Linked DNA regions of Saccharomyces cerevisiae S288C. Changing the gene in region 1 together with any one later gene gives a genetic interaction. Each region holds a gene or a part of one and is shown on either strand. Other genes may lie near its edges.

Region 1 (5,788 bases):
CGAGAGAGGATGTTATATCGGTAGGAATTTCTCGTATATGTGGGAAATAAGAAACAAGCGTAATTCTCTCAGCTGAACAAGAACTGACTCCCATGGTATTTTTTTTTTTCTACTTCTTTTCTTTTCCCTGAATTTGCGGGATAATATAGTTCGTGCACTAAGGACAATATTACGGATATTTCCAAAATTGGATAATACCTCTCCTTCGTTACATAGAACGCAGACAGATGTTCGTGTAATGGTACCCGACACTCGATGAGACTTTGTTATTTTTATACGCCTGAAATTAGGAAGAATTTGAGTTGGTTTCAATATTCCTCAGTTTTAAGCAAAACTGTTGTCGTGATTTATTTAAATTTCGTTAATGAAGTTGTGAATTAGAGTGGGATGTGTTATAAAATGTCCAAATATACACGATAAGATATATGAAAAGAATTTTTATGCCAGTCACAACTGTGTATATACTTTGTCGATAATAAGGTGTACCCTGCTTGCTACGTTTACTTTTGTTTATCATCTTCAGTTACGTCCAAATTTACGGTTTCTTTGCTATCGTTATTGTCGTCACAATTGTTTGTCTTATTAATATGCTCGTTGTCGTTATCGTCGTCATTATCTTCATCAGCATCCATGTTCTCAGCTACTTTCTTCAATCTTGCTAACTTGACTAGCGGGGCCAATGAGGAATTGGCTTCAGCTATCTCCGTGATATATTCATCATGAAGCAATTCCGTAGCGCTTGCTCTATCTTCGGGCTCCACACATAAACACCAATCAAGGAATTTTTTCAAGCTTGACGATAGATTCTCGGGTTCCTTTAACTTGGGTGTACCATTTGTAGCAATTAAATACAGTGCTCTTAGCGGGGTTTCATTTAAATATGGAGGCTCCCCCTCGATCATTTCAATGATCATGATACCCAACGACCAGATATCTACTTTTGGGCCATATTCTTTCCTAGAAACCACTTCAGGCGCCATCCAATAAGGCGTTCCCACCATAGTAGTTCTTTTCAAGTTCAATTCATTGATTTGAGCGCAAAAACCGAAATCCGTTAACTTAATATCCCCTTCCATGGACAATAGGATGTTATCGGATTTGATATCTCTGTGAAGAACACCTTTAGAATGTAAAAATTCCAACCCACTCAAAGTTTCTCTACAAACGGCACCAATTTGACCTTCTGTCAAAATACAATGGGTGACCACATCAGTTAAGGAGCCACCTTCCATGTATTCCATAATGACCCAAAGGTCGCCTTTTAAAACGTAAGAATCAATGAAATTAACTATATTAGGGTGTTTGCTACCCTTCATGACCAGAATCTCATTGATGATTAGCTCCTTTTTTGGTTGCTTTTCGAGATTCATTTGCTTAATGGCCACTGAGACATTCGTACCTATTTCATAAGCAGTATAAACACCACCTGATGCACCTTGACCAATTTTTACTAAATTGGCATATTTTGTACTTGGGTCACCGTCTGAGCAAATTTCGTTCAATTTGGCATATAGTTGTTTTTTACGTCTTTCCCTTTCCTCTCTCTTTTTCTCATTTAATTCTTTAGACAAGCTTCTTGCTTGAGCTGGCTTCGAAGTAGGTGTCGTTACCGTCTCTTGCGCCGGCGCTTTTGGCGATTGAGCAACTTGCTGTGGTGTGTGAGCTGTGGAGATGATTGGAGACGTTTTGGATTTGGTTGGAGGTATTGGTGGTAGTGGCTGCTCCTCTTTTTTTAAAGTGGCATTTCTTGATATTGAGGACCTGTTTGGGCTGGTCCTGTTCGGAGTTGTAGGTGCATGAGTCTGCTTCAAGGGCGAAACATTGGCGGCAGAATTCATGACGGGTGATTTTATAATTGGAGCTGAAGCGGACGCAGAAGATGGGGGCTTAGGAGCCGGTCTACTTGGTATGAATTTCCCGTTTGCTGAACTAGAATCTGTATTTAAGGTTGGAGACATGACGTGATTGGACATTGGTGTACCTGTTCTGGAACCGTAATTGTGCGAATCACTTGTCGACGGAGGAAATTTATTGAATGAGTTTGCAGGCGGTGTTGAAACTTGAGGACTTCCCGGCAATCCTGTGGTTGTGTTGAAAGTCTTGAACATTTTATCTTCACCGTTTGTTTCCGTGACATCCTGATAGAATTTGACAATATCCATGACTGCTTGCATGTTTTGCTGTTGTTCTCTTTTGGAAATACCACTAGAAGTCAACAATTTTTCCCATTCCTCCGGCAAACCTGTGTACTCACCAGTCTTGGAGTCCACGCCCACATGGTGGATATGCTTGGCATTGTATGGCGTAGATATCCTCAAAGCGGTGGTTATAGAAGATGAGGAAGAATTATTGGACGACGATGAGGCCCTTTTATCATCCTGAGAATTTCTCTTTATATTCTGTACAAAGGACGTAAAGACATCTTTCATTCTTAGTGTACCACTATTTGAACCGCTTTTCCTTTTTTTCGAAGAGGAAGAATAATACGATTTTTCTGTTTGCTTTTTAGGTGGAGAGGAGTTTTTTAAAGGATTTTTCGAAGGAAAGCTTTTTTTCACAGAAACCGGTTTACTTTTTGCTTCAGGCTTGGACGGTTTAACTTTTGGTTTATGTTGCTTATGCTTAGGGTTCGAAAGCGAATGGGAAGCTGAATTGATCTGTCTTGGCGTGGTTGTCATCGATGGTTTAGAGATAACGGGAGTGGACACTGGTGTAGCCCTTCGTATATCAGTGGAGCTCTTATTCGAGTTTACTGTGGAAGATGCAACTGGCTGCTGGTGCTTCACTGTCGCGTTATTTTCTATAGTTTCTGTAGAATCTGTTAACGACAGTTTTGATAGTAAAGTGTCATTAAACTGGTGATCTGACTCGGACGCATTTATGGTAGAAAATGTGTTGTCAGCAGAATGATCCGGGGTTATATTGCTGGTATTTATGTTTGGAGTGACTGCTTCTAGAGATTTGGTTTCATCGATGTTAGAATGAGGACTCATGGATGAAGACATTCCACTGATGACAGAGGAGGAAGATACTCGGGTAAATTGAATAGGATCATCTAGTGAAACGACATTATTGTCATCATCATTGGTTGTCTCCGCGTTCTTCGCAGGATCCATGGATTTGTATCCACCAGCTTCATGGGCAGCATTAGTGCCTTTTTGTAAGGCATTGACGTTCAAAGTTCCAGTGGTCCTTGGTAATCGTAATCCATCGCCGCCATCGCCATTGCCGCCCATGGCCCTTTCATTGTCATTGCTGATACCGTTATCAAGACTGTCCTTGTCTGGTAGTTCCGATACAGCAGATGGATCATTGCTCATTTCTTGTATTAGTCGAGGATCTTGTGGGATATTTAGGATGGGGTGTGAGGCAGTGAAGGGAAGAAGTTTGGGTTGCTTGCTACCTCGCTCTAATTGTACGTACGGATGTATGTCTTTAAGAAAGTATGTAAGTGTGTGTAGTATGTGAGTATCTATGTAAGCATGCGTTGCTAATGCGAATTTACGGATGCCTCTTTTTGGTTTCGTATTTTTCCTCTCTGGCCAGGTGACTTTCTGAATTTTTCAGCTGCCAAAAGCGGTAGACTTTCGAATTCCCTCTCTTGGCCGTGTTTCGGGCCACGAGGCGAAAATTTTTTTTTTTTAATCGAAAAAAAAAGGAAAAAAAGATTAACGTTTCTTTTTCGTTCTATCGTCTTCTACGATATCGCATGTAACACAATGCAGCTATCTGATAATATGGTCCCAGAATCGCAATAGCCGGGCAGGCACGCTACTAGAAGGCGGTTCTGGATAGAATTCAACTTTAGATGGCAGACTGAGGCACTGCCGTAACACAAGGCTAAGTAGCCGCAGCTGTTGCGGTCCATCTTGTGTCGCGGTGAGATCCCACAATCCATAGACGAGTACATTAGAGTATTGCGGACCATTCGCCTGCGCTTGCATCCGGGTGAGGTACATGTATAAGTACTTTACCCGGCCCAAAAAAACTACGGATACCCGCTCCCGGCTTGCCACGTGACCTGCCACAGTGTTCGTAGTCACGTGCTCCTTCAGTCCTCCTAACTCTACGTACTTCCTGGCAGTGTCTCCAAGGACTATCACCAGTACGTTTGGGCTTGACTGATCCAGGCTCCAATCGCTTTCTACTAGCTGTTGCAACCGCTCTTCAAACTGCATATTGTATCCTGCTGCTGCTGTTGTTGCACCCGTTATTGCACCTGAGCATTAATATATGCGTATATGTATCTATCTATGTATATGTGTATGTGTAATATGTATACGTTTATGTTAATGCATAAACTGTAATGAAACGAATACTCACCCGCTTGCTCTCTCTCACGTATAACACACGCATACTGCCCTATTTTCCTGTTTATCTCGGTAAGAAAAGGCCGTGCCGGGTCAGAAAAGAGTGCAAGAAAAAAATCAATTCGGTAAGTGAATCCGAGAGATGAAATTTGTATGTCGTAGGTCACTGCTATATTTGATGGTAAATAATAATCAGTTCTGGCAAGTGTACATACGCTCGAGAGCCTGATTATCGCGGGGCACAAATACAGGTGATTCGAGAAATAAAAAGTGAGAAACGACTCTTTTCTCATGCAGAGACACGTTTTTGCGAGGAATTTCAGACGTCTTTCCTTATTGAGGAACCCTTCCCTTACCAAAAGGTTTCAGTCGTCAGCATCCGGTGCGGCCAACACCCCTAACAATAACGATGAGGTGATGCTGTTGCAACAGAAACTTTTGTATGATGAAATTAGATCAGAATTGAAGTCTCTATCTCAGGTACCAGAAGATGAAATATTACCTGAGTTGAAAAAGTCATTAGAGCAAGACAAACTCTCTGACAAAGAACAGCAGCTGGAGGCTGAATTGAGTGACTTTTTCAGAAATTATGCTCTGTTGAACAAGTTGTTTGACAGCAAGACATTAGATGGACAATCTTCTACAACGACAGCAGCAGCCACGCCAACCAAGCCTTACCCTAACCTTATACCTTCGGCCAATGACAAACCATATTCCTCTCAAGAACTTTTCTTGCGTCAACTAAACCATTCCATGCGTACCGCTAAATTGGGTGCCACTATTTCGAAGGTTTACTATCCTCATAAGGACATTTTCTATCCGCCCCTCCCAGAAAACATTACTGTTGAGAGCTTAATGTCTGCTGGTGTTCACTTGGGCCAGTCTACCTCACTTTGGAGGTCTTCCACACAATCCTACATATACGGTGAATATAAAGGTATTCACATAATAGATCTAAACCAAACTTTGTCCTATTTGAAGAGAGCCGCCAAGGTAGTAGAGGGCGTTTCGGAATCCGGTGGCATTATCCTATTTCTGGGTACAAGACAAGGCCAGAAAAGAGGGCTCGAGGAAGCTGCTAAGAAGACACATGGTTATTATGTGTCTACCAGATGGATCCCGGGTACTTTGACGAATTCTACAGAAATTTCAGGTATCTGGGAGAAGCAGGAAATCGACTCTAATGACAATCCCACCGAAAGAGCGTTATCACCGAATGAAACATCAAAGCAGGTTAAGCCTGACTTGCTGGTCGTATTAAATCCCACAGAAAATAGAAACGCTTTGTTAGAAGCAATTAAATCAAGGGTCCCAACTATCGCAATCATCGATACTGACTCCGAACCTTCTTTGGTGACCTACCCTATCCCAGGTAACGATGATTCATTGAGATCTGTCAATTTCTTACTAGGAGTCTTGGCGAGAGCTGGCCAAAGAGGCTTGCAAAATCGCTTGGCCAGAAATAACGAAAAATGAAC
Region 2 (5,196 bases), on another chromosome or scaffold:
ACTACTAAACAAGCCGTCTAACAAACCCAAGAGTGTGGAAGGTTTTGAGAAGTCTATTAGGTACTTGAATATTGCCTCACTCTATCTCCCAGCCGTTGGAGATACTTATTTTCAACGAGCGAAAATTTACTTGATCACTGGGAAATTCTCACTGTATTTCTTTGAATTAGTAAGAGGAGCATTGGTAAGGATTCCGTCTAAATGTGCGTTAAACAATTTGAAAGATTTCATTTTGACTCCTGATTTTCCGGAAAGAAGACGTCTGATGAAAAAATTGGCAATTCTTGTGTCAAAAGATCTCAAAGGTGAGAAATCATTCTTTGAAGGTCAAATTGTTTTGCAATTTCTATCGATAGTAGAACACACTTTGGTTCCACAGTCATGGAACGCATCACGTGCTTCTAATTGTTGGTTATTGAAAGAGCATTTACAAATGGCTGCATTAAAGTATCATTCAGGTAATATTAATGTTATACTTGAAAACTTGGCTGCCACAATGGGAAGTTTCGATCTTATGTTTACAACTCGAAAAAGTAAGGAACAAAAGAACAAACTCAAATATGCAGATTTGAGTGAGCGCCAGGTTTTTTTTTTAGACTTGAGCTTTGATTTTATTGCTAATATCATAGACGTCGTCATCAAACCCTCCTGGCAAAAAAACATGGAAGACTTTCGATATCTAGCCATTATTCGTTTGCTTATGTGCTGGATTAAGTCATATAGATCTATTTTGCAGTACACTCACAGACACAGGAAGTTTTGCACTTCATTCGCCTTGTTGCTGAACGACTTGATAAATAGTCCACTGAATTGTTCAGGAAATATATATAGCCACAGGCCGAAAAGAAGCTATCTTTTTAGAGAAGATATTATTTTCAGGGAATTTTCTTGCATTAACTTTGCACTAACAGATTTTAATGACGATTATGTGTATGATTCTCCCGACATGATTAATAATATAATTGGATGCCCTACATTGACTAAAGTGCTTTCTCCAAAAGAAGAATGTGTTCTGCGAATTAGATCAATAATATTTTCTGGCATGAAATTTTTAGAGAAAAATGACACCGGCGTCATATGGAATGCCAGCAAATATAAGTTTGATTTAATAAGCCCAAATATTAAAATAAAACGCCAAATAGCATTATCGGAAATTTCCTCCAAAATAAATGTAAAAACACAACAGGAAAGAGTAGTCTCTTCGAGAAAAGTTGAGGCCAAAAGAGATGAACAACAGCGCAAAAGAGCCGGGAAAATAGCTGTGACAGAACTGGAAAAACAATTTGCAAATGTCCGGAGAACAAAAAAATTGTCTCCGCTCCCAGAAAAAGATGGCGTTTCTTCTGAGTTGGTAAAACATGCTGCTTCACGAGGGAGAAAAACTATCACTGGCCCACTATCCTCTGATTTTCTCTCATATCCAGACGAAGCAATTGATGCTGATGAGGACATCACCGTCCAAGTGCCAGATACTCCTACTTGAGAGAACAAGTAATGGTGAGGGAAAAAATCATAATATGAAATATATTATGACGACGTCAATTAACGTCGTCCACGCCTGTCGTCGTCAACCCACGAAAATATGGGGGCGGTTTTTATAACGGTTATTAAAACGACGGGATGCCGTCTACGGCACGGACAAACCCATCGCTTTGGAAATAGGTGACTGCGCTTGAAAAACATAATTATTTATTAGCATAATAAATTCAAGACAGCAAATATATATGCTGTCAATACGTACATATTAAGCCTAAATATTCTGTGGAAAAAAGAAACAAACTGGTAATTATGGAGAAAGCTTTGGAATTAGACGGAGAATATCCGGAATCTCTGAGGGATGAATTCAACATCCCTACATTTAAATCCATGGGACTATCGTCCGACGATAAGCCTGTGACGTACTTATGCGGGAATTCTTTAGGTTTGATGCCGAAGTCAACTAGGAATTCAATTAATGCTGAGCTAGATGCGTGGAGCGATTGTGCTGTGGAATCGCATTTCAAACATCCTGAAGAAGCCAGAGGAAAGGTGCCTTGGGTCAGCATTGACTTACCTATTCTTCCACTACTAGCCCCCATCGTGGGTGCTCAAGAAAATGAAGTTGCAGTAATGAATAGTCTCACTGCAAATTTGAATTCATTGTTAATTACGTTTTATAAACCTACTGAGAAAAGATTCAAGATCCTTTTTGAAAAGGGCTCCTTTCCATCAGACTATTATGCTTTCTACAACCAGTGCAAAATTCATGGAATTTCGGAACCTGAGAATGTTTTTATTCAGATCGAGCCACGCGAGGGAGAGACTTATATCAGAACTCAAGATATCCTGGATACCATAGAGGTAAATCAAGATGAATTGGCGCTGGTCTGTTTGTCAGGTGTTCAGTATTACACGGGGCAATATTTCGATATTGGCCGAATCACCTCATTTGCCCACCAATTCCCCGACATATTGGTTGGATGGGATTTAGCACACGCTGTAGGGAACGTCCCATTGCAACTTCATGATTGGGGTGTTGACTTTGCCTGTTGGTGTTCTTACAAGTACTTGAATGCCGGGCCTGGTGGAATTGGTGGCTTATTTGTCCACTCGAAGCATACTAAACCAGACCCTGCTAAGGAAAGTTTGCCAAGATTAGCTGGTTGGTGGGGCAATGATCCTGCTAAGCGATTTCAAATGCTGGAAGTATTCGAGCCGATTCCAGGAGCATTGGGATTCAGGCAATCTAATCCAAGCGTTATTGACACAGTGGCATTGAGAAGTTCATTGGAATTATTTGCGAAGTTTAATGGTATTAATGAAGTTCGTAAAAGATCGTTGTTGCTGACGAACTATATGACGGAACTGTTGGAAGCCTCCAAGTATTACAAACACCCTTTAAGGATCGAGAAATTACCATGTTTTTTTACAATATTAACTCCAACAAGCACAGATGAAGAACATGGCGCCCAATTGTCACTTTACTTCGATTCTGACACTGGAAAAGAGGATATTATGCCCAAAGTTTTCCAATATTTGCATGACCATGGTGTCATTGGCGATGCAAGAAGACCAAACGTAATTAGATTGGCTCCTGCTCCCTTATATAATACATTTTCAGATGTATACATTGCGGTGAATGCACTAAATGAGGCGATGGATAAGTTGTAGTCCTAGAGTGACCGCATCGCCTTCATCTTCTTTTGGATATTATATATGACGTAGTTTGAAATTCGTATACTTACTGATAGCGAACCTATAAATTTATACTTTCTTTCCAAGAATTAAAATAAATATCTGGGCCCGTGTATTACTTACCAGTTGCCGTGCATAGTCGTGAATCTTCTTTCATTTATCAACCTTCTTCCAATAATGAAGCTAACTTATCAGTGGTAGTACTGTTGAACGAAACAAGCCGGAACTCAAAAGGGTAATTTCGTGAAAAACAATCATCTACGGTATAAATAACAATTTAATTTACGTCTCTTTCGAAAATGCTCGTGTAGCTCAGTGGTTAGAGCTTCGTGCTTATAGCAACATTCGGTTTCCGAAGTTTCTGTGCCAAAGACCTTTCAAACAGGCCTTTAAAAGCAACGCGACCGTCGTGGGTTCAATCCCCACCTCGAGCACTTTCTCTTTTTTTTTTAAAAAAAGTTGCATTATTTCTATCAACTGTTGTAGCTACGTTACACCTAATTTTGTATTGTAGACTGTTAGATAATCCACATATACAGGTAAATACGGCACATTGTCTTCTAAACATCGCATTAAAGATGTCTTCCACCGTCGATTCAAGGGTCATTCAATACGGGTAATACTGCTTCCATTGGGCCCTTCCAAATGAAACAAGATACGGGAAAAAGTGATAAAAAAAAGCAAACAAGGTTGATTGATCGATGATAGACGCGATTCTTGGAAAAGGCAAGAGCAGCGTTTTGATAAATAGGTTCCAGGTGTACCGAGATATACTGATTATCCTTCTCTGTCATTCTTCACTTTTTGCAATAGGTTTCCTTTGTCGCAAAAAATTATATTCGTTATTTATTATACTATTCTATTTTCCTGAGGAGATAGGTTAACAAACGAATTAGAGAAGCAAAACTTATAAAACAAGAAATAAACGTATTAGCTCTTCCACAAAATGCAAACGCTAAAGTGTGTTGTTGTCGGTGATGGTGCTGTTGGGAAAACGTGCCTTCTAATCTCCTATACAACGAATCAATTTCCAGCCGACTATGTTCCAACAGTGTTCGATAACTATGCGGTGACTGTGATGATTGGTGATGAACCATATACGTTAGGTTTGTTTGATACGGCCGGTCAAGAAGATTACGATCGATTGAGACCCTTGTCATATCCTTCTACTGATGTATTTTTGGTTTGTTTCAGTGTTATTTCCCCACCCTCTTTTGAAAACGTTAAAGAAAAATGGTTCCCTGAAGTACATCACCATTGTCCAGGTGTACCATGCCTGGTCGTCGGTACGCAGATTGATCTAAGGGATGACAAGGTAATCATCGAGAAGTTGCAAAGACAAAGATTACGTCCGATTACATCAGAACAAGGTTCCAGGTTAGCAAGAGAACTGAAAGCAGTAAAATATGTCGAGTGTTCGGCACTAACACAACGCGGTTTGAAGAATGTATTCGATGAAGCTATCGTGGCCGCCTTGGAGCCTCCTGTTATCAAGAAAAGTAAAAAATGTGCAATTTTGTAGTCATATTAGTATATGCCCATCTTTTCTTAATCTATATCTAAAATTAACTTATATATACACCTTCCTATCCTTTTATTATCGTTGTATTTCATTTTTTCGCTTTGCTCAGAGTTGATTCTCTTTGTTTCTTGCGCCAGGATCATCCGTCTGTTCAAGGCGGAGTAGTGCAAAAAAGTCGAGCCGTCAAGCCCCAAACGTTCAATACTTCCATGTTCTTCAACGCTAAACGCGACATTTGCGAGTCCTACCACGTCTTCTCCGTTTACGGGCAAAAACACCTCTTAACATCAAAAATTTGGCTTTCGTGCTTTTTTCTGAAATATATTCGTTGCATAGACACGGTATGCATATGAAACATTCAGGCTAGCAATCAATACTTAAACCCTTTACGGGCGTGCATGATGTATCAGGAAACCAGTTTGAGAATGTCGCCCACCAAGCTCCATGGAAAGGCGCAAACCAATTACGCGGAACACAAAAATGGGCCTTTTTTTGATCGC

The links.
Region 2: of STE20 (region 1) and CDC42, extra expression of one rescues a mutant of the other (dosage rescue), as found in Saccharomyces cerevisiae (7 studies listed by BioGRID, with this or other methods).

Annotation. Positions count from the first base shown.
Region 1 is NC_001140.6:94,618-100,405, forward strand, and holds STE20 (mitogen-activated protein kinase kinase kinase kinase STE20), read right to left. Parts: upstream 3,321-5,788; coding exon 501-3,320; downstream 1-500. Other genes in the region: SHU1 (Shu1p), read right to left, coding at 3,726-4,178; YHL005C (uncharacterized protein), read right to left, coding at 4,211-4,603; mitochondrial 37S ribosomal protein uS2m MRP4, read left to right, coding at 4,602-5,786. UniProt on the Saccharomyces cerevisiae protein: MAP4K component of the MAPK pathway required for the mating pheromone response, haploid invasive growth and diploid pseudohyphal development. Links the pheromone response G-protein beta gamma subunits to downstream signaling components.
Region 2 is NC_001144.5:603,712-608,907, reverse strand, and holds CDC42 (Rho family GTPase CDC42), read left to right. Parts: upstream 1-4,120; coding exon 4,121-4,696; downstream 4,697-5,196. Other genes in the region: EST1 (Est1p), read left to right, coding at 1-1,483; BNA5 (kynureninase), read left to right, coding at 1,789-3,150. UniProt on the Saccharomyces cerevisiae protein: Involved in development of cell polarity during the cell division cycle, and essential for bud emergence. Affects signaling in the pheromone-response pathway through the STE20 protein kinase.